Arabidopsis thaliana: one gene and its partners. The protein of the gene in region 1 interacts with the protein of each later gene in a pairwise test. Each region holds a gene or a part of one and is shown on either strand. Other genes may lie near its edges. The genes, in order: BTR1L, AT5G46190 and U1A.

What was found.
Region 2: the proteins of BTR1L (region 1) and AT5G46190 interact in a two-hybrid assay, tested with the Arabidopsis thaliana proteins (one large-scale study listed by BioGRID).
Region 3: the proteins of BTR1L (region 1) and U1A interact in a two-hybrid assay, tested with the Arabidopsis thaliana proteins (one large-scale study listed by BioGRID).

What each region holds. Positions count from the first base shown.
Region 1 is NC_003076.8:1,246,966-1,257,766, reverse strand, and holds BTR1L (binding to TOMV RNA 1L (long form)), read left to right. Parts: upstream 1-3,813; 5' UTR 3,814-4,100; intron 4,101-4,241; 5' UTR 4,242-4,243; coding exon 4,244-4,328; intron 4,329-4,632; coding exon 4,633-4,871; intron 4,872-4,976; coding exon 4,977-5,083; intron 5,084-5,508; coding exon 5,509-5,702; intron 5,703-6,202; coding exon 6,203-6,327; intron 6,328-6,752; coding exon 6,753-6,848; intron 6,849-6,917; coding exon 6,918-6,979; intron 6,980-7,068; coding exon 7,069-7,165; 3' UTR 7,166-7,519; downstream 7,520-10,801. Other genes in the region: AT5G04440 (RAP release 2, galactose-binding-like domain protein, putative (DUF1997)), read right to left, coding at 1,143-1,214, 1,642-1,758, 1,843-1,925, 2,066-2,111, 2,254-2,444, 2,552-2,810; AT5G04420 (Galactose oxidase/kelch repeat superfamily protein), read left to right, coding at 8,312-8,422, 8,516-8,593, 8,680-8,811, 8,890-8,956, 9,034-9,095, 9,182-9,321, 9,437-9,563, 9,640-9,754 and 5 more.
Region 2 is NC_003076.8:18,719,223-18,731,096, forward strand, and holds AT5G46190 (RNA-binding KH domain-containing protein), read right to left. Parts: upstream 7,028-11,874; 5' UTR 6,847-7,027; exon of another isoform or gene 6,843-6,846; intron 6,781-6,842; exon of another isoform or gene 6,641-6,780; 5' UTR 6,613-6,640; coding exon 5,995-6,612; intron 5,911-5,994; coding exon 5,173-5,910; intron 5,082-5,172; coding exon 4,788-5,081; intron 4,713-4,787; coding exon 4,657-4,712; intron 4,577-4,656; coding exon 4,213-4,576; 3' UTR 2,530-4,212; downstream 1-2,529. Other genes in the region: DELTA-OAT (ornithine-delta-aminotransferase), read right to left, coding at 1-16, 94-174, 271-368, 459-611, 693-748, 850-1,009, 1,087-1,317, 1,431-1,539 and 1 more; AT5G46200 (carboxyl-terminal proteinase-like protein (DUF239)), read right to left, coding at 8,828-9,199, 9,354-9,500, 9,605-9,658, 9,761-9,928, 10,030-10,187, 10,530-10,701, 10,789-10,872, 10,954-11,025.
Region 3 is NC_003071.7:19,513,725-19,522,535, reverse strand, and holds U1A (spliceosomal protein U1A), read right to left. Parts: upstream 5,350-8,811; 5' UTR 5,308-5,349; coding exon 5,211-5,307; intron 5,093-5,210; coding exon 4,920-5,092; intron 4,643-4,919; coding exon 4,549-4,642; intron 4,351-4,548; coding exon 4,253-4,350; intron 4,141-4,252; coding exon 3,850-4,140; 3' UTR 3,623-3,849; downstream 1-3,622. Other genes in the region: PHR2 (photolyase/blue-light receptor 2), read right to left, coding at 1-648.

The DNA of each region.
Region 1 (10,801 bases):
ACTATTTTGTCTTTTACTGAAAAAAAAAATATTTCTCGAAGTCACAAACTTTCGTTTGAGAGGGAACAAACGCACGTTTTGGTTTTAACATTTTACGACATCCATATACAATCATGCATCTTTAACTTAGTAAATTTTGATATTTGTATAACTAGCTAGTCGACATATCACATATGCATTGATCTTTTGTCTATATCTTTTTGTTTTGAAAATTTCAGGCAATGTGAATAGGATATTCACTTAAACTACATTTACTTTGGCTATGCATGGCTTGACAATATTTTCCAATTAACCGAAATTAAAGGAAAACATATCAAACACAATCTTTCTTGTTTCACCGTTATGTGAATGTCTTCTTTTGTCTTGTAACTGTGAAGTTAGCATTACTTGCTTAGTTGCTTGATTTTGTCTTTTCAAAGAGAGAAGAGACTTTTGCTTTGAGATACGCACAAATGATATATGGCTGTCGTTTGTAAAAGGACCGATAAGAAAAATTATTTCTCCGTTGCTTAGAACATTTGCTTCTTTTTTACTCATGCTTAATTGTATAATAGGGCTTTTTTTTTCGTCAAAGTATAATAGGTTTCAAAAGATAAATTTAGATGGTTCTCTTTTATGTTTTACGTTTGACATGGTTCTCTTTTATGTTTTACGTTTGACATGAATCACAAACAAAAGTACTCACCGACTAAAATTTAACGTTTGTGTCTACAAGTTGCAAATGACTTCTGATTAAAACATTAAATTGTTTTTGGCTTCATTTTGAAATTAAACACGTTATCTTCACAAATGACATGCAGCGAGAAAGCTTTTCTTCAGAAAAGTAGTATTCAATGAACCGGCTCATCCATTTATCGGTTCAATTTTAGTTCTACCAGACAGTTTTTTGGTACAAAGGAGATCCGTTTAAGGAACTTTCGGTTGGATCATTAACATGACACACCGTGAGATTACAGTGGAACAAACAAACAAACGTATTCTATTGAAAAGGGTTGAAATTCCAGTGACTACAGATTCCTTTGTGATTATTTTACCCGAATACCACATTGAAAAAGATCGAGAATTTGCTATCATCCCCTATTTGAACTCGAGGAGGCACAGGATCGTTGAACCAGGTACGTACGGTAGCTTTTGCTTTACTATCAGATCTCACCGGTCCCAAGAGGTTGCCTTGAAGTGTCTCCCGAAGCCCATGCATGATAGTCTTTGGAGAGCTGCAAAATGAATAAAAGAGCATGATAAGATTAATGTTGGGATGATTTTGCAGGCAATGGAATGTATTTATGTTCATATATGCAGAAGGAGGAGCACATAAATATAAAGAATCAACAAGCCAGTTTTACAGAGGAAACCATAGAAGCCTAGGCTAATCTGAAACCTGAGTCCTGGTTCAACATGTGCTTTACCAACATAAATAACGCCCAAAACATGTTATATTGCCTCATCAAACAGCTCAAATATAAAAGATCTTCTCAAATATCAACAGGAAACCTCAGATGTCAGACTAATCCTCTCAAGCAGGACGATCTTGCTATCTAAAAAACCATAGTGCCATAGAGAAATAAATGATCGCTTAACGGACCTCGTTGATGCAGAATAAGCAATTAAAACGTAATAATACAAATCTGTTTTCCTGCATACCTGTGACAAAAATCGAGGTAGCATGAGTTTAAGAATTTGATCAAGAACTTGTGTCCCAGTCGCCTCTATTGCTCCCACTGGGAAGACTCTAAATGCAAAAGGAATCTCGATATTGACCTACAATCGCCAAGTAAGTCAGAGATACCACAGCAATGCACTGATTAACTAAGCAAAAGGAAAAAAAATGAAGAACTTAGCTACCTCAATGACTGCATCTGAAGTAATTTGTTGCTCTGATGAGCCCTCCTGAGTGCTATCACATGATACCCGGTTCACCATAGAAGCTGCATGACTAGAAAATAATAAATGTTAAGCCCACACAACCATCACTAAATTTAAATAATTTCAGTACACAAAACTTGACAACATGGCAGTACTTTCAAAACGGGTTAACAAAGTGAAGCGTATACAGGGATATGCTTACCATCAAATTTGTCATTTTGAGCAACCACAACAGGAGATCCCTCAAGCTATATGGCACAAGAAAATACAAAAATCATCACAGTCTTAACAAATCATAACTGGATTTGATTTGACATATGTCTAAACGCCACAAGTTCCTCTCTTTGTTTGCAAATTCAATCATTTCCAAAAGAACAAAAGAAGAATTACCTTGCAGGACAAGAGCTTGATGCAGCAGCCATTAGGCTGTTCTTCAACCCTGACAAGCAAAACAGGGCAGACTTCAAAGTTGAAGAATTTAAACGTATAAACATAACATCTAAACGTGTTATCATCAACTCTCTCAATCCTCTCCGCATCAAGCACCGAGTACTGACTCGCAGGTAAGCTCATATACTCAACTGCAAACCATAAACAAAAAGCAAATTCAAAATCAAACAATCCGATCCAGATTTAATCATCCACAGGAAACAGAAATTTAGATCAGAGAGAATCGCGCTGAAGTTACTTAGAGGTCGCTGTAGCTGACGAACGGAGACGGATTGTTTCTGACGAGCGATGAATCGAGCTTTGGGGGTAGAACTAGAGGAGACGCGTATAGGTGACGTAGAAGAGGAAGTGGCGAGAGAAGAAGGTTTGGGTGATTCGTCAAAGGACGATGAGCTAGTGATGGTGAAGGAGAGAGCTGGATTTCTAGGGTTTCGATTCGTCTTCTTCGCCGAGAACGACAGAGAGGTAAGTCTAAGCGTAGCTGAGCTCAACGCCATAGCTAAAACGACGGCGTTTTAGGATATGAGATGTTTAACGACTAACGGCTTAGCTTAAACACACAAGCGAAGGAGAGAGAGTGAGAGAAACGTGATAAGATTATTGGGACGACGAAGATTTGGGAGGTGGCACCACCATCACCACCTGCTTCGACTGCGCATGTTAGCCTGCTGACGTTGTTTCGTTCGCTACAGTTAAAATACGCTGAATATTGAAAGCAAGCCCAACAAGAGCCCGTGAAATGTATATATTGGGCCAACAACGAATAACCTTCGCAATTTGAGTAAGTAAATATGAAAATGTCATGTAACCAGACTCGGTTGGATCCATAACACTTGTCAGTATTTTTGATTAAAATAATTAGTTTTTTTCCTAATTAAAGAGTACAAAATTAATTAAGAAAATGCGAAAAAGAGTTATCTAATTATTGAAAATAATAATGTGTGAGGAATTTGATTACTAATTTTAAAGTTCACAAAATAACATGATTATTTTATTGAAGGTTTTAACCAATGAATCTGTAGTCGTGAAGAAAACACAGGTTGCCACTTCCCATTATTTATTTTGGCTAAAGAGCCACTTCCCATTATTGCCGGGCTAAAAAACCAAAATCACCTTATAATAATATTGAACTTACATTATTAAATCGACCGATTCAAATCATAAACATGCATTACCATTAATCGTATCTATCGTCTTCGTCAACTCTACCGTACAATTTGATAAACATATATTTACTGCAATTCAAGATCTAACAAACTATGAAAATAAATCAAACCAATGCAATAAAATCAAATTCTAAAATGAGAAAATAGAGAGAAAAAGACACATATTGCCATTTTTATTTTATTATTATCATGTTCATTCTATTGCTTTAAAATTGTAGAAAAATGATAATTTTGGTGTTTTATTTTCTAATTATGTTTTATTTCGTAGCACATTTTGATGTTAACACATTTTGTAGTTGAGTTGATTTGATATTTTAACAAATAAAAAGTGAGATGATTGTGAAAGAGGAAAAAAAAATTAAAAAAGAAATAGAGAGGCGGTCAATAAAATTAAATTTAGGAAAAATAAAAAATAATAGAATAAGGGAGGCTAGTGGATAGATAGACGAAGGACACCAGAGCCACCTTCATTCACTTCACAAACCGCTCGGCGACAAAGACGAAGAAGCCGAGGAAGCACCGATACGACGATTGAGACTTAGTTTTGCTCAGATTCATTTAACCACCGGCGCCAAGTGACGACGACGACGGAGGGAGCAGATTCGAATTGTGTGAAGACAGGTAAACTTTGGAATTTTTCCTTCTCAATCTCAGATTTCGATGAACGAGTCTTATCTCTTCCTCTCTCTCCGATTTCGTTCTTATTTCTCTTCATTGAATTGATAATGTCGATTGGTTAATGCCGTTTATCTTCTGTAGCAGCAATGGAGTCTACTGAGTCATATGCGGCAGGTTCACCGGAAGAGCTGGCTAAGAGATCCCCTGAACCGCATGATTCTTCCGAAGCTGGTATTTTCGATCCGATCTGGTCTTCTGTTTTTTTTTCTCCTTCGACTCTGACTCAATTGTTTCGGTATTTCGTCACATTCGTGAATCGGATCTCGTTTAAGTACTCTGTGATATGTCAACGGACATGTGTGATTAATGTCTTTTTTTGCTGATGAAAACTTGTGAGAATGTTTCCTGTGTGATAGATTCATTTTCCAAGGATGGTTAAATTACGCTGTTTCAATTCAATGATTAGCTCAATACTGATGCGGTTTAGTGAACCATGCTATCTATTTGACTATCTAATGTGTTTTCCTCTTTTCAGATTCTGCTGAGAAGCCAACACACATTCGGTTTCTTGTATCCAATGCGGCAGCTGGTTCCGTCATTGGGAAAGGTGGCTCGACCATCACTGAATTTCAGGCAAAGTCTGGGGCAAGGATTCAGCTTTCACGTAATCAAGAGTTTTTCCCGGGGACGACTGACAGAATTATTATGATATCGGGATCAATCAAAGAAGTTGTCAATGGACTGGAACTTATCCTTGATAAATTGCACAGTGAGGTAATCTTTTTTGACAAATTTGTATTTCATGTCACAGTTGCGTTTATTTAGTTTATATAGTATGTCACAATGAAATCAGTTTTAACTTTTCTATCTGTTTGCTAGCTTCATGCTGAAGATGGTAATGAGGTTGAGCCTAGGAGAAGAATTAGACTTGTGGTTCCTAACAGTTCTTGTGGAGGTATAATCGGAAAAGGAGGGGCCACCATCAAGTAAGTTTCCGTTCTGTATTTGTTGCAGCAGTTTCTTTGAGGTTTTCAGACCTTCTATAATCCATAGCCTGTTTCCTTTGACACCATTTCCTACAGCACGCTTAACCACCAAATATCATCTATAATGTATCTGGTTATGTTCTTGCATTGTTTCTATGTTCAAATCTTCTCTGGTTCATATCTTTAAGAGAGCAATTATTTTCTCTGAATGCATGCATAAACAAGTCAAGACCCTATATATAACAGGTGAACAAAGTTTCTGAGTATTAGATATGACTCAGATTGCAGTAGTTTATGCGTATGGAATATCTAGTTCCTTTTAAGTTCTAGAATATGGCATTGCTTTTATGTTTTTTTCCAAGGAATACTGATTTCAGTTGTACTGCTGTCACTAACCCTCAAGACATTTCTTTCTTTGCAAAAAGGTCATTCATTGAGGAATCTAAAGCTGGTATTAAGATATCCCCTCTGGATAATACCTTTTATGGGTTGAGCGATAGGTTAGTGACATTATCTGGGACCTTCGAGGAGCAGATGCGGGCAATCGATTTGATTTTGGCTAAGCTTACTGAGGACGATCATTACTCCCAGAATGTGCATTCCCCATATTCATATGCAGGTATATCAACTCAGTACTTGCTTAGTTAGGTTTGTTATCCTCCTTGAAGCTTCTTTTGTTATCGTGTTCTGTATGTCTTTGATTGCATTTATTCATGTTGGAAAGCAATATAGTAAATGGTTAGATCATTTCCGGAGTTTCCTTTGACAATTGAATTGACACTATCAAATTATTTGTTTTAAGACTGTTTAGTCACTACACATGGACAGGCGTAGATAGGCTAGAAATCACAGTACAAGGTTTTTGATTTCTTGTTTTAGGGTCATGTGAACAATCTAAGTGTCAAGTGTAGATGCTGGATCATATCCCTTGATAAAAATGTAAGATTAGAGTAGGATTTTCTACTGAGTTTTAGATTGTCAGATGTCAACTAAGGTATAGTAATGGCATTTAGTATCTTTCATCTCACATGGACCTTCTTTCCATTTTGAGGGTTGTGTATGATGGTTGTCTGTTGTAGCTTAATTCTCTTGTAAGTTCCTTTAAACTCGGCATTTTAGGTCTTTTCTACTCTGGTTTTCATGGTCCTCCATATGCGTATGCGCTTCCTTCTGTTGCAACAGCGGGATACAATTCGGTTAACTACGCACCCAACGGTTCTGGAGGCAAGTATCAAAACCACAAGGTTAGCCTCTTCTCACAATCTTCCACCCTATTAGTATTTATGCGTTTATATGAATCAATCTCTATTTGTGTTACTACTATGGATAATATGGTGTTACAAGTCATATCTTCCACCCTATTTATGTAAACGCATATATACATGAAAAATCCCTATCGATGTTATTACTATGATTGTTTGGATCAATTCGTACTACAGAAACTTTAGGAGATACCAATGTGAAATCTACATCTGATATTTGTTAGGAATTAGGCTTATTAAAAGGATTGGTGATGCTTTTAATGAACCAAACTACGAAAATAAATTTGATCGGAGATGCAATTCCTGTCACGTCTTACTGTGATAATAAGATGGCATTTTGGTATTTAAACAGCTAGAGATTCGTTTTTTTCTACATTACTTAAGCTGTGTTTTGACATATATTCCAGGAAGAAGCTAGTACCACGGTGACAATTGGTGTTGCGGATGAGCATATAGGATTGGTGCTTGGACGTGGAGGAAGAAACATCATGGAAATCACTCAGGTATTTGGCAACCCTTAGTTAAAACTCTTTCGGTCCACTGAAACTTAAAACCCACTTTTCTTCCCGCAGATGACTGGTGCCCGAATTAAAATATCAGACCGAGGTGATTTTATGTCTGGAACCACTGATAGGTAAAGTTACGATTATTGGAGAGTTACAACAGAACAATGTGTTTGATACCTCTCATGTCTAACTTGATATAAATGGAAAATATGGACAGGAAAGTGAGTATCACAGGGCCACAGAGAGCAATCCAACAAGCTGAGACAATGATAAAACAGAAAGTTGATTCAGCCACAGAGAGAACCACCGATTGAAACCGTTAAGAGAATCCATCTCGGTTCCTATCTTTGGTCTGTTGACTTCATTTGTGGAGGCTTAAGCTATCGGATGGGGATCATTAATCATCTTTGAGTGAGGCAGAGATTTCTCTCTAGGAGCTCTCTTTCGTTTTATTTATATGTCGACATTATATAATGTGTTTTTCTCTGGGAGAGAAGCAGATTTGGAGTTAGAGAAGTACTATTTTCATTTGTTCTTTTAATAACTTTGTTGCAATTTGTTGAAGTTTTGTTTCCCTTGAGTTCTTTCTGTTGTAACAATTTACAATAACCAGCCATTACATTGCATTTGCTTCTTTCTTTTATCAACTATTTTCAGTTCATGATACCAAAACGTGTTGTGTCGGTATAGGACTTAGGAGGATGGTAAATACTAAGCTCTTCAAAAATCAACTCCGTAAAAGTTTTATCTTCTGCTGTTTACACATCAGACCCTTACTTTTCTCTATTTACATAATTCAGATCTTGTAAATTTTCTCCCAGACTCTTCAGTAAATATCAAGTTATGGATCCTGAAACTTTTATTTAACTACAAGTGCTCGGATCTTTTACTATTTACAAGTAAGACTTGTATCTTCTGATAATTATATATATGACGAGGAACAGTTTTCTATTTTCTGAAGTACCCCTAATATTTGGGTACTAAACACAGAAGCACCCATATCCTTTGCTAGTGTACGTAATTGACCCAAACTTTTTAATTAGTATATACACTTGGAGATACGATCTCGCTTCTCACAATCCTTCTCCCTCTCCGGCTCCGAACCATTCACGTTCTCCGGCAGCTCTGGTCATCGCCGCCATTTCGGTTTCTAACTTTATGTTGGTGTTTCTCCTTCCCTTTATTTCTCAGTTATCACTTAATTAGCTTTCGTGAAATCACTTTCAAATTTAGTGTTCAGATCTCTGTATGATTGCAATGTCCCCAACTTTAATTTCGTGATCGTCTCCGAGAAAGACTAGGATCTCATTGTTGGAAAATGAAGGATCGTGATAAGCTCAATTCTGGATTTTAGAAGTCGTTTCTACTTGATTATGGAGTTTATTGTATCCAATTGTTAGATCGAAACTCTTTTGTTCTCAAAAATGGCAGAGTGAAGCTGTGACGTGGTCTCTCTGGTAATGGAAGAGATCAGGAAAGAAATAGATGTCGGTGATTGGCATTCAAATCTAGCTCACGATGAATGGACACCACTCCCTGTTTCTGGCTCTCGAGCATCAGCTCGTTACAAGGTCACTGATTATATCTTTGTCTGTGGTTAAGCATTTGATTAAATTGGAGATAATTTCTCTGAAATCTTTTCGTGTGTTGTCTGGATGACGCAGCATGCGGCAGTGGTTGTTGATGAGAAGCTCTACATTGTTGGTGGAAGCCGGAATGGCCGATACTTATCTGATGTCCAGGTAAATTGTGTGTTTCTTCTTTGTGTCTGTATCTTCCTTTTGTTTTCATGAATCTGTGGTGATTTGAAAAAAACTCAACTTATCAGGTGTTTGATCTTAGAAGTTTGACTTGGTCTAGTTTGAAACTGAAAACTGAATCATCAAGTGCTGATAACATTCAAGAGGATGATGGTAGCAGCTTACGGGAAGCTTTTCCTGCTATTTCAGACCATCGCATGGTAAGTCCTTTCTTAACATGAAGAAGAATTTTGTAATCAATACTCAAAAAAAATGTTAAATTTGAAGCATTTTGGCAGATTAAGTGGGGAAACAAGCTTCTTTTGATCGGGGGACACTCCAAGAAGTCATCAGATAACATGTTAGGTTAGCCGTATCCAGCTTTCCTTCTGATTGGATGCTCTTTCAATTTCTTATTTATGTGTTTGAGTTTTTTCTTACAGTGCGGTTCATTGATTTGGAAACACATTCATGTGGAGTCATTGATGTGTTTGGGAATGTTCCGGTAAGAAAACTGTTATCTAAATTGTTGCTCACTCCATATGTAGCTGTTTTGGATAGTTAAGTTATATTATCTTCCATGTTTTCTAGGCTTCACGTGGTGGACATTCCATTACACTGGTTGGATCCCGAGTTCTTGTTTTTGGTGGGGAAGATAAGAACAGGAGACTGCTGAATGATCTGCATGTTCTTCATCTTGAGACAATGACTTGGGATGTTGTAGAGACAAAGTAAGTTTATGTAAAAGTGCAGGCAGCTAGATCTAGGCCATGCTTATGTTTACTGCACTTCTGTCTACCTCGTCTTACAAGTAAATGCTCTGTATTGTTTTTTTTTGGATGATAGGCAGACACGCCCAGTTCCCAGATTTGATCACACAGCTGCCACACATTCTGATCGCTACCTCTTGATTTTTGGTGGTTGTTCTCATTCGATTTTCTACAGTGATCTTCATATCCTTGACTTGCAAACAGTAAGTAAGCACATTTTATTGGTATTTTTTTTGCCAATTTAGTCATATTCTGATGAATTTACTTTACTCATGGCAGATGGAGTGGTCACAGCCTCATGTTCAGGGAGATGTTGTAACTCCTCGGGCAGGACACGCTGGAATCACCATTGACGAAAACTGGTATATAGTTGGGGGCGGTGATAACAGTACTGGTAAATGCAGTCTCTGCTTTTAGAATTACGTCTTACTCGCTCAACATGCGATTCCAGTTAACACTTTGCATTCATCTCTCCTCGGTAACTCTTTTCTTTCCGTGCAGGTTGTTTAGAGACCCTTGTTCTAAATATGTCAAAGCTGGTTTGGTCTACATCAACCCATGTAGAAGCAAGACATCCACTTGCTAGTGAGGTTGATACTTCCAAAACTAGAACCCAATCGTACATGTTTCTTTTCCGAGTTTTCTTATGTGTTGTATGGTTCAACTGCAGGGTCTCAGTGTATGTTCAGCATCAGTATTTGGAGAGAACATCTTAGTAGCTTTTGGCGGCTATAACGGGAAGTATAACAATGATGTAAGCACATAGCAATAGATTTCAACAAGTCAAATCTTATTGATATGCTTATTTGGGCTGTTGTCTTCTTTTCATCCAGATATTTGTCATGAGGCTAAAACCAGGAGAATCCTCACATCCCAAAATCTTTAAGTCACCAGCAGCCGCTGCAGCTGCAGCCTCTGTCACTGCTGCTTATGCCATAGCCAAGTCAGATAAGTCAGATTATCCTCCACCTGCAAATCCAACTCTCAATGGAAATGGAAACAGTCTTCCTGAGAGAGATATTAGGAACAGAATCGATACCATTAAAGAAGAAAAAAGAGCATTGGAGTCATCTATTGCGGAAACTCAAGTAGAAAACGCGAAGCTCAGGGAAAAGATAGATGAAGTCAATAGTAGCCACACTGAGCTATCTCAAGTACGTAATCTCTATCTGTCAGGTTATCCCTATTTGCGTTCTATGAACATGTTTCACATTCCATAAACATTATCGCAGGAACTCCAATCTGTAGAAGGTCAACTTATTTCAGAACGGTCTAGATGCTTTAAACTCGAGGTTTATAAGCCTCCTCTAACCTTTCAATAGCCTTCTCTTTTTCTAAAATCTCAAACTCAAGTGCGATTTTATCTAATGGCATGTCTCAGGCACAAATAGCAGAATTGCAGAAAGCACTGGAGTCAGGGCAATCCATCGAAGCTGAAGTT
Region 2 (11,874 bases), about 17 Mb from region 1:
TCCAAGACTTGCTGATCTATAGATTCAAACCAAAACGTGAACTTAATATTTTAATCTAAAGAACCTGAATCGATATAGAAAGCAAAACTGTACCTTTCAACGAGTTTTTCTTCCACGATAACGTCTAAAGAAGCCATAGCTACAGCACTAGCTAAAGGGTTACCACCAAATGTGCTGATTTCACAAACAGAAAAAAGAAGAAGCTTAATAGCAGTCAAACCACTATATGCTAATTCAGGTCAACAAAAGAGCAGAGTAATGAATACGAACCTTCCGTGTTGACCAGGTTTTATATGAAGCATCACGTCTTTATCAGCAAGCACTGCACTTACTGGAATTACTCCTCCACCTAATGCTTTCCCAAGTATCTTTCAGAAAACAGTGTCAAGATGCTTTGCTCACGGAGGAAACCGTTAAGAAAATGAAATAAAGAGCTTAGAAAATGTAAAAGAACATACCACCATGTCAGGACGAATTTCTTCCCAATCACAAGCTAGCATCTTCCCGGATCTAGCCAGACCGCTTTGTACTTCATCCGCTATCATCAAAACATTGTATTTTGTGCAGAGTTCTCTAACAGCTTTCAAGTAACCGTCGGGAGGAATAATAACCTAAACCAAAGTCATTTTCAACATTTAGCAACAAAACCAGCATGAATCTTCCTATATTCTAGCTTGAATGGAGAAGCTTACTCCAGCTTCGCCTTGAATAGGCTCGAATAGAAATCCCGCTATTCTATCTCCCTTTTCTGCAATTACAATAGCATGATCAACTCAGTGGCTCAAGCTCAAATCTTAATCTCAGGAACAATACTCTCATTTAAAAATTGAAGCAGGAAACATTTCAGACCTTTAAAGATTTTCTCAAGTGAATCCGCATCACCAAAATCAACTTTAAGATTCCCTGGCAACAATGGCCCGAATCCACGAGTAGCATCATTGTCACAACTCATGGAAACAATTGCTAATGTACGTCCATGAAAGCAGCCACAACAAGAGACAATGATAGCCTGTCAAAGAAACTAGTATCAAATCTTTGATACCTGTTACTGCGAATAATACTCTTAACAGGAAAAAAAAGTTGTACCTCGTCTTTGGGAATATTTTTCTTTTCATGACCCCATTTTCTTGCTAGTTTCAAAGCAGTTTCGACACCTTCAGCACCCGTGTTCATAGGAAGCACCATATCATAACCGAACATGTTTGTGAGACGCTCAGCAAATACCGGGAATTTATCGTTGTAAAACGCTCGTGAACTTAAAGTGAGCTTCTCCACTTGTTCCTGCAATGCCTTCATGATCTTAGGATGACAATGTCCCTGCAACAATAAACAAAGTTAAGCATTAAAACACAAACAATGAGTCTAACAAGTAGAAACTCTCCGCATATTGTATCTTAGAGTGACGGGAAGCGGATTTGGAATTGTATTACCTGATTAACTGCAGAGTAAGCTGCAAGAAAATCAATGTATCTCTTTCCTTCAGGGTCCCATATAGTTGAGCCATTCGCGCGAGAAAACACAACCGGAACAGGATGGTAACTGAATTTTAACACATACAAGAGAAATTTACATTAAGAAGAAGCTAAAGTTCATAATTTTCAAATTCTAAAAGAAAGAACCAAGCATGGGAATCAAATTGGATATGAACCGTTACAATAAAAGATTATCAGCTTTAGTCATCATCATGAATCTTAATCAATAACTAAAAATAAAAGATCACCACTCCAGTTAATATATTCTCAAGTTTCAGAATCATGAGCTCTATACAGCTATGGCATGTACATATATACATACAAGTCCGATCGAACCAAACAAATCCCAAATATCAAAACTTTTGATGGAACGTGCAAAACCCAGAACCCAAAAAGAGGAAAGAAAGAGACTTTACTTGTGGGCACTGAATTCAGATTCCAATTCCATCAATCGTTGAGAAGAAGACGGAGGAGATTTGGAATTCGATTGTGGCAGACCGCCATAGCTCCGCCGCACTCCGGCGGTAGAGAATCTTTTGGACACATAGTAAAGCAACCGTCTCGTGGTGGCTGCCATTAGAGTCTTTCAGAGAATGAAGCAAACGTTTTTGTTCTTGTTTCCCTCTGTTTATCTAATATATTTGTCCTCTGTTCGTTCGTTTTCCTAGAAAATGATCGTTTTCTGACTTTCTCGGGATGGGCAAATTTTATCCGAATACTAAAAATATGGTATAAAATTTATTTACGGTTTGATTTCGGTTTTTCTTTTTGGTTGAACAATGTTGTAACTTTATTCTACTTTTAGACTCAATTTTCAATATGGGAATTTTTTATTTTATTTTTTCATTAACCAAATATGGGAAATTTATTTCTCAAATTCTAGCTTACAATCTAGGTTATTCGAATAATTCCAAGTATATTAAAAAAATCGGATATAAGTGAACCTTTTTGCTTTATAACATGAGTTTGAAAATTACAAATTGTCAAATGTTGTTTTTCTCTCCTAAGTTAATCCAAGACTTCCCCATAATCTCTTTTTTTTTTTTTTCTTCCTATTTAATGCTATACTTTAATTACTTATGTGATATGCAATAGAGAGATTAGAAGAATTGAACTTGGTAAACACTTGATCGAAATTCACATTTATATTAGAAAAATGGAAAAGCACTTTAAAGTTGCGTAACGTAAACTACTACATGACCATATATGATACAAAACCTTCCAAATGGATCAACATCAATCTTTCTACTAAGAAACTTATCTTCAGTGGTCTTTTGATCAAAACGATGCTCAAGGTACTATACAATTGCAACAACTAAACTATTATTCATCACACTCGTGAAACCCATTTTTTACGAAATAGGAATATAGGATCTGCTAAAGATCAACACACCCGCTTAAAATCCCGGGATGTGTTAGAATGTTAGGCTTCAACCGCAAAAGCTAAACCAGAAACAGTATATAGAAATGTTGTGGGTTTCCAAAAACCTAGTATTTTGGGTTTGTCAACTAAATGCCACTCTCAAGGGAATAGAGCAAACGCTGAAGCCAAAACACAGCAGAATCAGAAAACCGTTTGAAGAAGTAAGTATTGTGGTTCTAATGCAACAATCCTACGGTGCCAACCTAGCCAGCGCCGAGTGTCAGGCTTATCAGAGAAATCATCAAACCGCAAAAAACTATATTGTGGCTGGTTTTTGACAGCCTAGTATGTTGTGGAACCTCAGCTTTATAGGACAAATCCCAAGCCCGAAGTGTTCGAGCGCAAACGCTAGCATAATCAGAAAATCTTTTTGACAAATGCTAATTTTCATGGAGAGACAACCTAATATGTGGGAATGGCCAGAAAACACATAACATTCACAAAAGCTTGTCGCAGCCTGGCAGGTTCTAAATATGCTACAAGCACTATAAGATCATGATTTAAGTTTAATATAGATGATCAGAGTTCCGGGGAGCTTATCTGGGAAGAGAATAAATCAGAAATGGTAACAGAGGCTAAGATAAAGAAGATCAATCAGTGGAGTTTGACCTAAAGATAGTAAAATCGTAGCAGAGAATGGGATGATCATCAAGAATGAGAAATTCCTCTACTGATACTCTGATAAACCGATGGAGTTTCAAATAATCAGATCGTAAGATCAAAGCACTAACAAGTTCAAACTTCTAAGAAGCAGAAACAAATACGATCATTAACAAGAGGAGATCTAAAGGCTACTGTTCTTGAAGATCACTATGCTATAATAACCTATGGCTGTTCACTGCAGAAATTTATACAGAAACACCAAGAACTATGATATGGTGAGTATCACTTGGCATCACATAAGAAGCTGAGAAGTGGGATTTGCAGAGTCGGTAAACTAACACATAACTGATAGGACTGCTGCTTTGGACTAAGAACAAAGCAGATCTGATTCCACATATGGAGAATAAGCAAAGTTTGATTGATATAAGAACGATTTTGTTTTATTGCACGGAGATAAGTAGTTATAGTACGAACAGCTCGCAAGGAAAGGGGAAAAGAATGGTCCTGAAAGACTATAAAATGTCTAGCACGAGAAACCAAAAGTAACTGAGTCGAGATGAGATACCGAAATGTTTGATGAGAGATGCAACCATATCTAAACATGAGCTTGATGGAAGGAGGAAAGCCTGAGAAACCCGATCAAAGAAATCCACTGAGAGGTAGATTGATGGAACACACTTCCATGGAAAAGGATTAAGGGGCAGAGCAAATTATTCAAGTGGACATGATAAAAGCTTGGAACAAGTTCTCTGCGGTACGCTTCTGTTCAGATGTCCCGGAAATGAGAGCAACGCGACCGCCATGGGAATTTTTGGAATCAGAAATTTCTATCATGGCTCCTGATATCTGAGAGAGAGAGAGAGAGAGAGGGCACATACCATGTGAAAATGTTATATAGGAAAGAGGGAAGAAGAGACGAATGAAGCTATGGCAATCAGAGAGTAATGAGGAAGGAAAAATAAAAATAAAAATTAAACAAACCCTTCTTATGTTGTCCAAGTTGCCTCCTCCTCTGCCCATAACTTTACCCACTGCATTTGCTGGGATTCGAACCTCCATAGTAGTAGACTGAGGCAATCTGTGAATTCACAAGATAATCAACAGGGAAAAGAGTTGAAAATATAATACTGAACAAACGAAACTAACTTGCAAACTTACCCTCCATATAGATTGGATGAGTAAGAGGAGTTGGATCCATAACTTGTATTGCCCACCTGTAGTTAGAAAAACTTAAGTTATAAACACAGAAACTGAGATCATCCATTTTGAGCAGAAGAAGGAAATGTTACCGGAAAACTTCCATAACCATAGATTCCACCACTCGAAGGAAGCATGCTCATGCTGCTCCCGGTTTCTGGTCTCCTATTGAAATCTACAGAAGCAACTTGCGGAACAGAAGACATGAAAGATTGAGGAAGTGCAAGACCAGTATTACTACTACTTGAAGAGAAGAAATTGTTATTCTCAGATCTTGCAGGAGGTTGATTCCTGGAACCAGTCTCTCTATCCCTTAAAACATCATCTCGAAGCCTCAGAACTATCTGAATAAGAGCATCTCTCACATTGCTTACTTCACCAGATATCTAATAAAAGTAAGCAAAAAGAATCATTTACACTATTGGAGAAATTGAAGAATTGAATAAAACAAAGCTGAACGAATCTAAGAATCATTACCTCAACGAGCTCATCATTGGGATCAGCACACTTAGGCGTATTATTTCCTTTCGAGATATGAATATCGGCCTTTGTCCTTTTCCTGATTTCACTTATGATTGAGCCACTTTTCCCTATAATGCATCCTATTACCTTAGAAGATACAAGGAGTTGCATTTTAACTTTGTCCTCGTCTTCATCATTAATTTTCTCTTGAAGTAGAAGAACAGCTTCAACCGCCATAGACTTCAAATCATCAGGAGACTCTGTAGCAGTGACAGTGATAACACAGTCATCATCATGATTTGTCCTCGAGTCATTAACTTCGATATGAGACCCGCTTGCTTGTCTTATTCCCTTAATGGTTAATCCTCCTTTCCCGATAACACGACCAATTTTGGAAGAAGAGCAAATAACTTTTATAGCCAACTTTTCTGATCTGGAAGACCCACCAAAACCATGAACAACAGGAAGAGCAGAAGCAGAAAAAACCGGCACAGGATTTGCAGCATTTTCTCCATAACCCTGAGGTAGTGTACCGATAAACGATGAAACATTAGCCCCATGTTGGAAAATAGAATCCTGACTTGGGTATAAACCGGCTTGTGGATAGATAGACAGATCAGAGGGAATTATAATACTAGCGGGAACTTCTTGGACAGTTGTATCCAGAGGAATCTGTTCTCGAGGACTGACTTTGTACATGATTGCAGAAACAGCGAAAAGTGCCTTCTTCACGGATTCAGTCTCACCAGATATCTAAATAAATAAGAATAAGAAACATCGATTAAAATAAGCAAAGAAACATATGCTAACAAATTCTACTGGAATTCTGATACTAACCATAACAATGTTGTCAAAATCCATGGCACAAGTGTGAGAAGGATCAGAAACATCTTTAGAGACAACCTTAACGTTAGCTCTAGTTCTACCTCTAATGTTCTTAATAATCGAACCAGATTTACCAATGACAATAGAACACTGACTAGACGGAACTAAAAGACGACATTCTCTAAAGTCATCTCTATCAATCTTAGTGTTCTCAGCAGCAGTAGCTAAAGAAGCCACAATAGCATCATGGACTTTAAGAAGAGCAGCTTGAGCAGAACACAAAGGAACAGAGTAATCCAATTCACTATACTCAATGTCAACAATGTCTTTCTTCTCCGAAACCGAGCAAAAGATCGTTATGACTCTTTCGCTACAACCTGGAAAAGGATCAACAACTTTGATCCTAGCTCTAGTTTCTTGCCTAATCAAGTTAATAACTTTGCCACTTTTGCCTATAACACTTCCCATGACACCACTTGGGCATAAGATTCTGTAAACAACAACGAGATCGTCTTTGTTATCGATCTTTTTTTCTTCGGATTCGTAAGAAAGTCTTCTCCTTTGATTCCGGTTGTTGTCATTGTTGTTGTCTCTGAAACGATTGTGAGTCCTCTTCCCACGCTCAACCATTGTTGTCTGTTTTGCAAATTACACAACCCTAAAACAGAGAGACAAAAGAAGTACAATTGATCAAAAGCAGAAGCAATGTATTCTATCGATAGAGAAATCTGAGAGGAACCCTAAAAAAAAAAGAGAGAAATTTGAGAATTGGGTGGATAAGAAAAAACTGAAAGAAACGATTTTTATGATTCAATTTGAAAATTCGTTAATTGGATTATCAATTCAAGCGATGAACATACATACAAGGTGATAGAAAATTCTAAGAGAACTTCAATGAACAGCGAGAGGCCTCTCGGGAGAGAAGAAAGAAGAAACTTTTGTTCTAAATTGTGTTAGAGAGAGAAAGAGAAAGAGAAAGATTTGTGATTGTCTGATGCAGAGTAGAGAGAGAGAGAGAGATGACGGCGATGTGTTAAAAGAGATTTTTACTTTGATTGATCTCTTTCGGTTATATATAGTTAACAATAATATAATATGAAGAAAGTCCCTAACTTTTGTTTAGATTTGGTGTTTAGCCCATTTTCTCAGAAACAATATTGTTAAACCTAAAATCTACTTTTAAGTTTTAAGGCTTAAACGGTTAAACTTGTTTAAATATTTATTGATTAATTACGTTTAGATTTTGATTCTGCAAAAAAAAGTACTTCGTTTCACATGTTATTTCGTATAAATTAATACTTTATACTTATCTCGTATACTTTAAACTTGTCTTCGTGTACCGGTTTCATACTATAATAAGTAAAATAACTATGTAATAAAACTAATTTAATTTTTTTTCCACCAAAAAAAAATTAGTTTAAATTTTAATCGCGTAAACAACATATCACATAACAGTGATTGGGTTATGGGTATTTACAAATTTTTTTTATTTCGTTGAGACTAAAACGACGTCCTTTTAGTCACTTTTACTCCTAAAATTCTTAAAATCCATTTGTTCTCCTTAAATCTTCGATTGCTCTCAAAATCTTAATTTAAAAACGAAGCCGAAACAACGATTCTCGAAAAGATCAACGAATTCGTACGAATGATCATTAATAATAATCGACTCGAGATTGACTTCATTTGCAGCATGTGTTGAGAGTGTAGGGATTAGAAGTGGTGCTGGACTATCTTTAGACGTTCCTACACGTTGGAATTCAACTTATGATATGCTTGTCAGAACTTTAAAGTTTCGTAAGGCATTTGCTAGTTTGAAAGAGTGTGACAGAAACTATATATCATTTCCTTCTAAGTATGAGTGGGATCTTGGAGAGAGAATTTGTGACCTTTTGAAGTCGTTTAGTACCATCACTGCCTACTTCTCAAGTGTCAAATATCCTACAACTAATGTGTATTTTCTGCAAGTGGAAAATTGAGTGTCTTTTGAAGGACTACGCAAACTATGGTGATTTTGGAGTGGAATAGATAGTTAGTAAGATGTAGTTAAAGTTTGATAAGTATTGGGATCAATACAGTATCATTCTAGCTATGAGAGCTATTCTAGATCCAAGGTTGAAGATGCAGATTCTTAAATCAGCTTATAATAAGATGGATTCGAGTAGTTCAGAAGAAAAGGTCAATGTTGTTGTGAAGAGTTTGAAGGATCTTTGCAAAGAACACATGGAAAAGGCTTAAACTTCTTCCACCTTCTCAACAACACACACTCCACATGAACTTCTTTCAGTTTAGGCATTGTTCTAAAATACTTTGTACGTTAGTCGTACGGTAGAGTACCATATAGCGTATAGACAGTGACTAACTGATATTATTAGTTCTTTAAAATTTTCACTCTACATGGAGTATAATAATTGATGTAAATATTTTTTAACATTAACATGAATTAGTAATAAATCGATGCAAATTATATGCATCTCTACTTTAAAGTCACTTATTTAAGTGATGCAATTTTTTTTTACATCATCTATAACTAATGCAAAATATATAAGAAATGATGTAAGACAATCTTTTTTTTTTGTATTGGGTGGATATTTTTTTTTGTTTAAAAAATTATATATATAGATAAAAACTTTTTGTCAAGATATGCATATGTAATTTCAAAATTATAATAAATTAAAACATAAGTATAATAATCATGATGACTACTATACATGAATATAATAATCATTTGTCAAGTTAAAAAATTTCACTTTTCTAAAATATTTTTAATTTTTTAAGAAAACTACTAAGCATGAAAATAATTAAAAACAGAGACCATATTTATGCATGTAGAAGAATAATACTCTTATCAACATTGTCCACCAGGTCCTCCAAACGTAAGAGTCTCTCTGGAATCATAATCTACATACTTGAGAAACATTACACCATAACACTTACGACTATCCACATACTGTTCTACCTCGTTGGCATTAATATCCACAACTGAATAATCCGAAAGAACATATTTAAGCTGTTTCATGAAACAAGACCGACTCAAATCTTTTGTCGGAAACTCTCCAGTTCCCATTGGTGGGCTTGTCGTCGGTTGAGACGATGCAGTGTTTCCTGCAAATCCACCGAAGTATACTTCAGAAGCTCCATCTACCATCTGACTTTGACGTGGCCAATAGCCTATCATTATGGATCCTATCGTCAATACCCAATTTTTGGTCACTGGATCCTGCATTTGTACATACACATACATAGCTTCAAATAATGTTGACTAAAAAAACTAAAACTTTTTTGAAGTCCAACGTACACAAAAAGTCAACATGTAAAACGAGATAAACAAGTAAGACTACATTTGTTTCTTAAATTAGGGTTTTAATTTGTACCTCAGCAACAGAAAGATGGACAGTGTTCTGTTTTCCTCCTAGAGCATTAACTTTATCATACACCAAACCGGGGTAGATTGATTTATGAATTTGAACATAACCTCCTGGACATAACGCATTGTAACATCCTTTTGGATGCTGATCTGACTGTAATAATATAGAAAATATTTGATTATGCTCATACCAAAATTAACCAAACATATGTTAATCATGAAACTCGAGAATATATACAGGAAATCATCATCACTCACCATCCAAAACGTAGTTAGTCTTGGACGATCGTCTGAATATAAATTCGTATGCACCTGTAGTGAGGGATCGAGAGAGAAGTTTAGGGGTTAAATCTGAATAAGTGACAATCTTAGTTTTGTTAAATTGATCAATGGAGTTTGAAGTAAAATACTTACAGCCCAACCAAACTGGATGCTGCTCATTAAGCTTCCTTGAATGTAATTAAGCCAAATCCAAGCCTTACTAAATTGATTTTGCACCACTCGGGGCTTGTTAATATTGAACAATGCTTGTGCTCCACGCCATTTCTTTGTCGTGTTTTCAAATGTCCTAACAATTGCATACTACAAAAAAAAAATCAATTACTCATATATCTATTTATACTATTAAGATAATCATCATCACCAAATATGTAAAGTGGTTTTTGCAGCTTGAGGGTACTTACATGTAGATGTGTCTCTGTAAATAATTTTGGCTGGTGGTGAGGAATCTTATTTTTTTGAGACAACAATGCAGAAGGGATCATGAGTTTATTTTTATTTTTTTTACGTCGATTGTTCTTTTTCTTCTTTTTATCCCTGCGACTTTGTTTCAGGATACGGCCTGAAATAAACGAGAAAACAAATTGTAGTAAAAGTTAAAAAAAAATATATATATATATATCTTAAAGATTTAAAAACAAATACAGAAATTCTAAGTTTCTAACCATTTCAGAATAGAAAAAAGTGTAAATAGTTATATTTGTGTTCGTAATTACTAGTTCAAATATTTAGTTTTATATATTGTTAACATTGATCTTTTTATCAAACATCGTTACAAATTATAAAAATAAAAGTAATTACAAAGTATATGTTTATTGAAGATGTACACTAGACGAAGAAATCAATATAAGCGTAAAAACAAAATCAGCCCTATGTCAAAGTTGATTAAGACAAGAGTACTTACCTGCTCTATGAATTTGTTGGGGATGAATAAGACTATTGGTTAAGTTGGTTTTTTGTTTATGAATCGGTACTTGTCCCTTTGGACATTCTTCTGATCCCTTCAAATCAATCTCTCTGAGTATGTTACCATTGGACGTAGAGAGTATTGATAGAAGCTCTCGACTTGGTCTAGTCTACAATAACATTAATTTAGGTTTTATTCCAACATATTTCTTTATAAAACATGATTAGTATGTTTAATTATGGCAAATGAACAATACCTGTATGCGATGATTCTTCATTAGAGGATGTTGTAGTGCAGATTGTTTGTCTATAGAGACACATTCGAATTCGCTTTCTTGATGCTGCAATACAAATCCAGCAATAGCAATATGAGAATTTCATTAATGAGTTTAGTATACCAAATTACTTGTTAAGGAACATACCGGAGTTGATTTAGCGATAACATTGAGGTATATTAGACTTATGGAGATTAACTTCAGCCAAAGAGAAGCCATTTTTTGTTTCCTTTTTCTATAGAGCTTCTGTTTACTTCTCTTTTGTTTTTATTTTTTTGCTTTTGATTAAAAAGGCTTTGCATTGGTTACAAAAATAGGAAATACCCGTCTTTTACGGCTAAACAAACTATGAAACAAATTTAAACCATATAGGTAGGTGCGGGTCTTTAAGGGAAAGGGGGAATTAAATCGTTAGCAGTTTTGTTATTGACTAACAAAATCCATTTTGAATAACTAAATCAATCGTAAACGACAGTTTCATTCAAAATTGAATTTCTATTTAAGGGTTTTAGTTTTTTTGTTTCTTTTGATATGGCTACATTAAAATCACTCACAAACATTCATCATATATGTAGGCAAACAATCCTTCTTCCTAGCTACCTCTCATGTCTCATCAACTTTAGCTAAAGACAAATAAATTTTATAAATATTTTAATTTTGACTAGCAAAAATATTCGTAAACAACATTTTCATTCAATTTTTTTTTCATCAAATAATTATTTTTTTCTGAAATCCAATTTTCTTTACATAGTTCGTTTACTTTCCTACTACAGTATGAAACCCGAACTAAAAAGCTGTGGAGTCACTAGATTGAAGCAGTTGGACGATGAGTCAATATATTTCCATTTTTCTTAAATGTACGTGTAGATACATTTAACTATTTCACAAACCGTAGTATGAATTTTATTCAATTGTCTTTCAGTTGCGTACAATATTGATCAGCCATAGTTAAATGTCGTTAGGGACGTTCATCAAGTAAGCAATTTGATTCTCTCTGTTCTTTCTTTAGTTATTTGGTAGTGGTAAAAACAGAAATGCCTATAATGTAGTGTAAAAAAAAATCCGATT
Region 3 (8,811 bases), on another chromosome or scaffold:
GTGAGCATAAACCGCGTCAGCTCCAATCTCCTTAGCCAATTCCACCAAAACAGCTTCAGGTTTCCCGACACGGACAACTAGATTCGACCCTCTGGCTTGGAGATTCTTCCGGAGCTCCGAAACGGACTCAATCAGAAACTGGGCACGAAAAGGCCCCGTTTTGTCGAAGCCGGAAGAGGACTTGCCGTAATCTCTAGGGTCGAAGCAGTAAACGGGCAAAACGGAGACGCACTCGTCGTTGGCGGAGTTGAGACACTCGTTGTCGTGGACACGGAGGTCATTGCGGAACCAGACGACAGCAGCACGGCGGAGAGCGGCGGCGGAGGAAGGATCAACGGGACGACGAGGGACGATGGAGAGAGGGGATTGAAGAGGGTTAGCAGCGATGGTGGATTTGAAAGAGATTCTGGAAGAAGGAAAAGGAGAGACAGAAGAAAGAGAGAGATGAGTGAGAGAAGAAGCCTGCGTAGGGATCTTAACCTTGTTTGGATGATGAGCAAACAATTTGAGAAATTGAGTCGAGGATGGGAACAAGGTCAGAGAAAGAGATGCGATTGGTAGAGAAGAATGGAAAATGGCAAGTGGGTTTTGTTCTTCTGCGGATTTTGTTTCTGGGTTTAGGTTTTCTTCAACATTCGAAGAATCCATTTTGTGTGTGTGTGTGTGTGTGTGTGTAGAGAGAAGAGAGTGAAGAAGAGTGTGAGATGAATTGATAAGCTCTCGTCGATTTTCCCCACACAATTTCTTCTGTTTAGATCAAATATTTTAATAAAATGTATTTAAAATATATCGTAGCACTGTTATTTTATTTTCAACTTTAGAAATATTGATTGATTTTTTTCTATTATAAACACTACTAATGAAGGAAAAAAATACGAATTTTCTTAACATTTTTAAATCCTATTATAGTTCTGAACAGTTTTATTGAAATATATTTTGTCAATTAATATAAAATTTGAAATTAAAATTTTTGAATAATAAATTTATTTAAAATCATAAAGGTCTCAATTATAAGTTTCCTATGTTTTATCATTTTGCCATTTTTACACATATAAAAAAAGATTTATAAAAATGAAGATAAAACTAACATTATTGTAAAACCAGAATAAAAATTGAAAATGACAAAATTAGAGATTAAAGTAGCTAAAGTACAGTTTCTGATCTTCAAACAAGTGATTAATTCGATCTTACATATCATGGGACTCTCCATATATTCGTTCCATTTTGTGTATATGAACCTCTGATCAATGCGTTACATATGCTGCAAAAACCATCACAAAAGCTAAATGTATAACTCTGTAGGTAATTTGAAACGAATAACGGTCCATGCAGTGAAGTATACAACCACAAGTTCGAAAACACTCTCGTAATTAATGCAAGCCAAAGAGCTCAATGAGAACTATATATGGCGAAGACAGAGCTTGAAATTACCCTTTTAGTTTCATGTGCATTGTGCACCGTCAATCCCATCTAGAAACGCTACATTTTGGTCAGCACACAATAAGGTTCAAAATAACCAAAGCAACACTTACATATATGAGAACTATAAAGATTTAATCAACCGTCGAACACAAATGATTTAACACACATATACACACAAACAACGAAGAGCTAGTCAAGAACAACGAAAAACACATTATCAATAAGGTTTAAGGGATATATAACATCAATGGGTGAAGAGCTCATGTTGGAGAAGTTAAGTACGTGCAAATAAGCAAATGAGACGGATTTCGTGTTTGTTGGTTTGCACGTGCCCTGCTTCTCCAACATGGAGATTCTCACCCGCATTTCCAAGCACATGAGGGGCGTTTGTAGTATGAGAACTTTGGTTATGGAAAGGTTTGTATATATAGGCCCAAAGATTGCATTAATGGAAGACTAGCTCACACGCACATCCGTATATGTTATGTGTGTGTGTGTGTGTGCTGGCGTGAGTGTGTTTTACGTAAGGCAAAAGAACCATACCATGCCATGATGGCATCTCACGCAAAAGAAGGGTTGAACTAAAAAAGTGAGAGAGTGAAGAGAGCTAAACGATCGCTAGCTAGGGCCAAACAATACCTTGTCTAATAACTGCTAAGTTTTGAAAGCTTTTTTTTATTCCATATTACTGTTTTTTTAGTGTGGGGGCTTGTCTGCCCTAAATTTCACAAACTCTACATATATAAGTGCTAGGTTGCTAGGCGTACCATATTGTCTTATTGCTAGGATCCTATGAAGCCGGTCACGCGTTGACAAGCAAGACCTTAGACCTCTCTTACGACTAATCTTTAGCTAGCATCTACTCTATGGCATGGTAAAAAAATACAGTATCCATATTCTTTCACTTCATTAGAATGAATTACCGGTATATACCAAAATAAACTGGATATCCACTAGTTCCTCACTAATAATAATCTACACTTAACTTTGTTTCAGTTTATATTGAAACTCTTCAAATTCAAATATTGATATACATTATACGATATATATATATATATATATATATCTGTAAATTTTCTACTACATAAATGATTTTTTTTTTTCCTCTATCGATCGATATGTATGTATATCATGATGATAAATGCCGAAGCATAAAAGAACCATTTGAATTAATAACATACATGTGCGTGAGAGAGAAGGGTCAAAAGGGCAAGGTGGGTCGTCAAAGACTGTTGGGGGCAAAAGAAGAGAGGAATAATGAAAGAGTGCACGTAGGGCTTTGCGTGTTGTCCTAACTTTCTCTAACATGGAAAAAAAAAAGGTCCCTATGTTGATACCATTCCTCCCTCTTTCATTAGTTGATTGTGTATATTATATATATGGTCTATGATTAATGTATAATCCTCCTCAGTCCACACATGGACTCAGGATAGGTAAATATGATCTCTAGATTAATGGTCTTACTATAGCTAGTTAAATTGTTATATAGTAATTGAAGATGCTAGCAAGTGATCCATTAATGTTTAAAGTGGTGATTCATTGGACATATACATAATGACCCATTAATGTTTTACTACTAAGTACTAAGATAAGCTAGTAAGCAAGAGCTGAGATACAGAATAACACTAATTAGGCAGTGTGTGTCACACAGACCAGAGAGGCAGAGATGAATCAGCAACAAATCTTTTGTCTTGTAAAAAGAGGAGACAGAGTCAGACAATGAAGTCATCACCAAATCTATAAACACATGCATTAATGCTTTTACGTGTCCGTATCACACTCGTGTTTCCCACTAAATGCTCACTCATTTATTGAACCATCGTCTAATTAATGCTTTTGATAACTTAAATGCATGGAGGAGTGTCCTTCGCCCAATATTTCAAAAAAAGGAGAGAGCTCACTCAATTCTCTTGACGCACGAGTTTTGGACCTAATAATCGCTGACCTCATCAGCAACAAAGAAAAACAGCTACACTACAAAGACTTTTCTTTCACCAATCCAACATCAAATAATGATTGCTTCTTGTTTCTCTTTTATTAGATATCCAAGAATTCGTAAATAAAAAAGAACAAACCAATCATCCATAAACCTTTAGTTTAAAGTTCACTTTGCGAGTTTTTTACTTTAATTCATTATAGTTTCGTTTAATCAGTCAAATTAAAGGTCTTCAGTTATCTGATCAAATATGGAAGAAGAGGCTTATCCATAAGTGGAAGAAGGTGACGAAATATTAGATAGACAAACACCAAATCGAGACGCTTATTGTCTGGATGAAAAAATTGTAAGTTAGATGATTGTGTAATATTCTAAGCAATTCTACAACAAACACACAAGAAAGACAAGTTTCCTTCTTGCGCAAACCATGGAAGAAGTAACATTGACAGATACAAACATATCTCATCGAAACACAAATAAAACGAAATTGTCTATTTCTTGGCATACGTGATGAGCATCTGGTTTTGCTGAATCTTGAAACCTTGAAGTCCCTGCATTGCGACCGTCGACTGCATCTCATCAGCAAACTCCACAAAGGCGATTCCCGGTTTGGCTTCAATCATTCTAACTTCCTTAAATCCTTGGTACTGGCAGAACAACATCTGAAGCACCATTGGAGTTGTCTCGTGAGGAAGGTTTTGGACAAAGAGAATATTATTTGGCGGAGCTGGTGCCTCGGGCATATTGGGTTTCATACCACCAGGGTATGGTACTTGCGATAGCTGTGAAAAGCGTGGCAATAAGAACGATCATCAGAATACAGGAAAAGAATTAAGAGCGTCCCCCAAACGTATGAATCAAGATTAGAGTTAAGAAGATGTTGAAATAACTCACAGGAGGTGCAGCTCCATAGACACCTGGATATGCTGAGTTCATGGGCATGCCCATCTGTGTAGAATCATGGTGCTGGTCTTTCTTTTTCTTGCCGCCTCCTGCACTTCCAAAGACGATATTTAGATGCGAAAACAAACTGTTTGTAGGTTGTGGAGAAGCAATGTGAATGTGATGTGACTACTAATGATCAAATGCAGAATGTGGGAATGAGAAACAGAGCAATAAATCTCATGTACACATATGCAGTAATGGTCAAAGTGAGCCAATGAAGCAATGAAGTAAAAAAAAAGTGTCACCTTTCTCCTCATGTCTCTTTCTCTTCTCGCGAGGAACAAATGTACCATCGGCCTTGGCAACAACATCTGATTTTGTTTTGGCATATTGTATTCTCTGTCCACATTGTTAAAGTTAGGAATTAATAATATAGCAAAGTGATTGATAAGTATTTCCACAACCTAAAACATGGTCAATAACCTAAAAGCAACCACTAAACATATAAAGGGTCTTTCAAATAGAATCCATGTGGTTCACTAAGAAAAGCTCTCTAATCAGTAGATTCAAACCCTAATTAGGTGTTCCACTAACTCTAGGGGCAAATAGGCAAACCAAAACACATCGAGTAAGAAGAAGTTATCAAGAAAGTAACTGGAGTGGAAGGAATTGGTACCATCTCCTTGTCGTAGAAAGGAAAATTATTCATTTTAGCAATAGCAGTGGAAGCAGACTCGGTGTTGTCGAAGACTACCCAAGCTTGTCCTTTGTGCTTAAAGGTCTTAAACGCCAATATCTCCAGTATCTTCCCGAACTGAGAGAACACTGCATTCAGCGATTTCTTCAGCTCTGTAGAACAAAGTTACCAATAACAACAATGAAGAGATCAATCAACTCAAATCGGAGGAGAAGAAGAAGATATACGAGACGATAAAACAAAAAAAAAAAAAAAAAAAAAATTAAGTACCATCAAGCTTCACTTTTTCGTTGAGATTGTTGATGTAAATCGTCTGATTCGGAGAAACCTCCGATCCTCCTCCTTGATTAGCCTCTTGCATCTCCATCGTCTTCACCAAATCTCTCCGTCGAATTCGGAGAAGATTATTAGCCGGAACCACCCAAAATCGAATTAATAAAAAAAAGTGAGGTTTAACTCTGTTCCTCCTAAAGCCCTAATAAGCCCATCAGTTAGCCCAATATTCTTATTAGTGGGCCGATTAATATATTTAGCCCATCAAAAACCCTAAACTGATACATATTATTAGTAGTTTCACTTCTTATCTTCACTCCCAAGCAATCTTCGGTTCTGCTTCTTTCTAGATTTTGACTCTCACTTTGGGCTTCTTCTGTGTGTTTCATCATTTTAGGGTATCGATTTGATAGCCGGAGGTAAGAGCAAGAAGACGAAACGTACTGAGCCTAAATCCGACGATGTCTATCTCAAGCTCCTTGTCAAGGTTGAGGATTTGACTAAAAATCCGTCAGAGATTAAATTTTTTTTTTTTTTAGGCGAACCGATATCTGGTGAGGAGAACAGAAAGCAAGTTCAATGCCGTGATTTTGAAGCGTTTGTTCATGAGCAAAGTGAACAAAGCGCCACTGTCTCTCTCTCGTCTGGTCCGATACATGGACGGAAAGGTTTGAATTTTGTTGTTGTTTAGGTTGTTACTGCATTGAGTTCGATGTTATGTTACTTGGTGGCGACTCATGAACTAATGCTCTGTGTGTTTGATTTTATTAGGATGGAAAGATTGCTGTTATTGTTGGTACTGTGACTGATGATGTTAGAATCGAAGATGTTCCGGCTCTTACAGTTACTGCATTGAGGTTCACTGAGAGCGCTAGAGCTAGGATCCACAAGGCTGGTGGAGAGTGCCTCACTTTTGATCAGCTCGCTCTTCCGTGCCCCACTTGGTCAGAGAACACGGTATATCCCATTCTTGTTTCACTCTTAGTTCAGTTGTCGAAATGTGGAAACTTGTGCTAATCGTTTACTTGTTCGTGACGTATGTAGCTTAGTTCAGTTACTATGTCTCGTTTCATGATGATTGGAATTTGAGGTTACTGTCCTAACTTTCAAAATCTAGTGGCTTGTAAGCCTTTGTTTAAAAGGCTATCTCGATGAAAATTAGAGAATATCTATCTCGAGGACCACTTGTACTCAGTTTACAAGGGTTATATTTTCACTTTTTATTATTGCAGTAGCGATTGATGTAGCATTCCGTAATGATTGCAGGTTCTGCTTAGAGGTCCTAAGAACACACGTGAAGCAGTGAAGCACTTTGGACCAGCTCCTGGTGTGCCTCACAGCCACACCAAACCGTATGTACGTCAAACTGGTAAAAAAATTGAGATAGCAAGAGGAAGAAGAAGGAGCAGAGGTTTCAAGGTCTAAGCCTAGCTACGAAACTTCATGGTCAGTCTGTGTATGACTTGAGTTTATCTTTTAACTATTATGGATTATACTTTTACATTGCTATAATGATATATATATATGAAAACTAAGTAGGAGAAAATCTTTCTCTCTTTTAGTTCTGCTTTTGCTCCTTATAGTATTTGATTTGATTAGTTATCATAAATGGCAAATTGGATTTCTGATGAACTAGAGTAATACTTGAAATTTTTCTGAAGTAATCGGTTACCTTTCGACTTTCAAAACTTGTCTTTTCCTTTTTTATTTGCGCATTATCGGGTTTTGGATTAGATCAAATGTTTGATCCTTTTTCATTTGGGTAACTCTCTTTGTCAATACCTTTAATTGATCCAAAAGATCTTCTCACGCTATGATTAGATTGTGTAAGTGAAGAACGTACGTTGGGTTTCCTCATCTTTGTAATGTCTAAGATATTGGCGTCAGTCACTGTCTTTCTTTCTGATTGCTAATAAGTAAGCTGGTACGTGTTATTGTTCCAGTTTTTCTTTAATCTTTTGGATTCGAAATGACTTGAAAGAAAGAAAACCAAAATAAATAAATAAAGGTGAGGCAAAAAAACGTTACAAGGAAAAAAGAAAGTAATAAAGGGGAAGAAAGGGAGAGGAATGCGTTGGCCATGACTAGGCTCAATGTATAAACCTTGACTTGGTGTTACATCATATTACAAAATCAAAATTTTGAAAAAAGAATTATCGAAACTACTTAGATTTATCTAGTACTATTTATTCTTAATATATCATTTGTTTACAATTTTACTAAATATAAAAGTGACCTTAATTATAAAATAATTTGTGAAATAAATTGTGTTTTTGATAAATAATTTACTAAAATAGGGAATTATTTTATTTTAAAATAGATACTAGTAGCGCTATCCTTCTTTATTTTATTGTATTTACTTCCTTTTTCTGTAAAATCAATTCTTACTTTTTCACAAATGTCCCTATTTTCAGCCTAACTCTTTTGTAAATGTTTTTCTCTCTTGCCTTTTCTTGACTACCAATATCCTTTCTAAGAAAATTTTAAAAAGAGAAAGTGGTCATCTGAAGTTTCATAGAAATGTGAATGATTATTTCTTGTATCATCATTTTATTAACTGAATGAAATTCAAACAACAAAACATGGTCCTAGATTGCATTTTATTTTGGTGTGTCGTAAATTGATTCCATCGGAAAGGAAACAAACTAACAAAGATTGTTTTTGATATTTTGGTATGTTTTTTTACTTTTTGACAACTTTGATAGTACATTATTCTAGATTTGCCGCACGGCACATCACATGGAAGGATGATGAAAATAGAAATATATCCCAACTTGGGGAATGTTTTGACCAATGGGCAACCTTATCTTGTTCATCAAATCATAATACAATCTTTTCTCTCTCTTATTGCTGTTGGTTAAACAATAATCAAATAAATTACCCAACATGGCAACTTAAGTGAATACCCATAGATTCGCTATTTCTGCGGCCGACGTATGAGCAAACCCGTGAATTAAAAAAACAACTTGTACATCGAAATACTATTTTAAACAACATTTCACTAACCTTGGCCAATATATTAAAACTACGTTAACTTTTTGTATATTTATAATAATTGTAATGCTGTTGAACATTGAGAAGCAAGAAAAGTAGAAAACTGCGAAATTGAGTGAGAAATGAAAAGAATAATAATAATGGTGATGGTAACTAATTATAGAAGAGCATATAATTTGTGACCCATGTTGTCTATGAGCGAAATAATTTTTGATTTTATAACTATTAAATTTAACATGAAAAAGGTGTATAGTATCAAATCTAAATCTAAATGAGTATATGTGATTTTGGGGGAAATCACACACCATTGTCATTTGTATATTATTATATGGTAGACCAATGTTATATATATTTTTAATCGATCGAGGTAGACCAATGTTATGTAAAGTAGAAACAAGACTGAAAAAGGCGTAGAGAGCAATAAGGTCGTAATCAATTTGTAAAACAGACTAGAAAATTCCAACGGAAATCCAATTTACATTCCTCTTCACGACAAAACACTTATTAGGTTCTGATGTGTAAAAATGGTCTTAAAGCCATATTTTTGAAAATGACTCAAACGAAAGGAAATGAAAGAAAAATATATATTTTTATTACTAAAAAG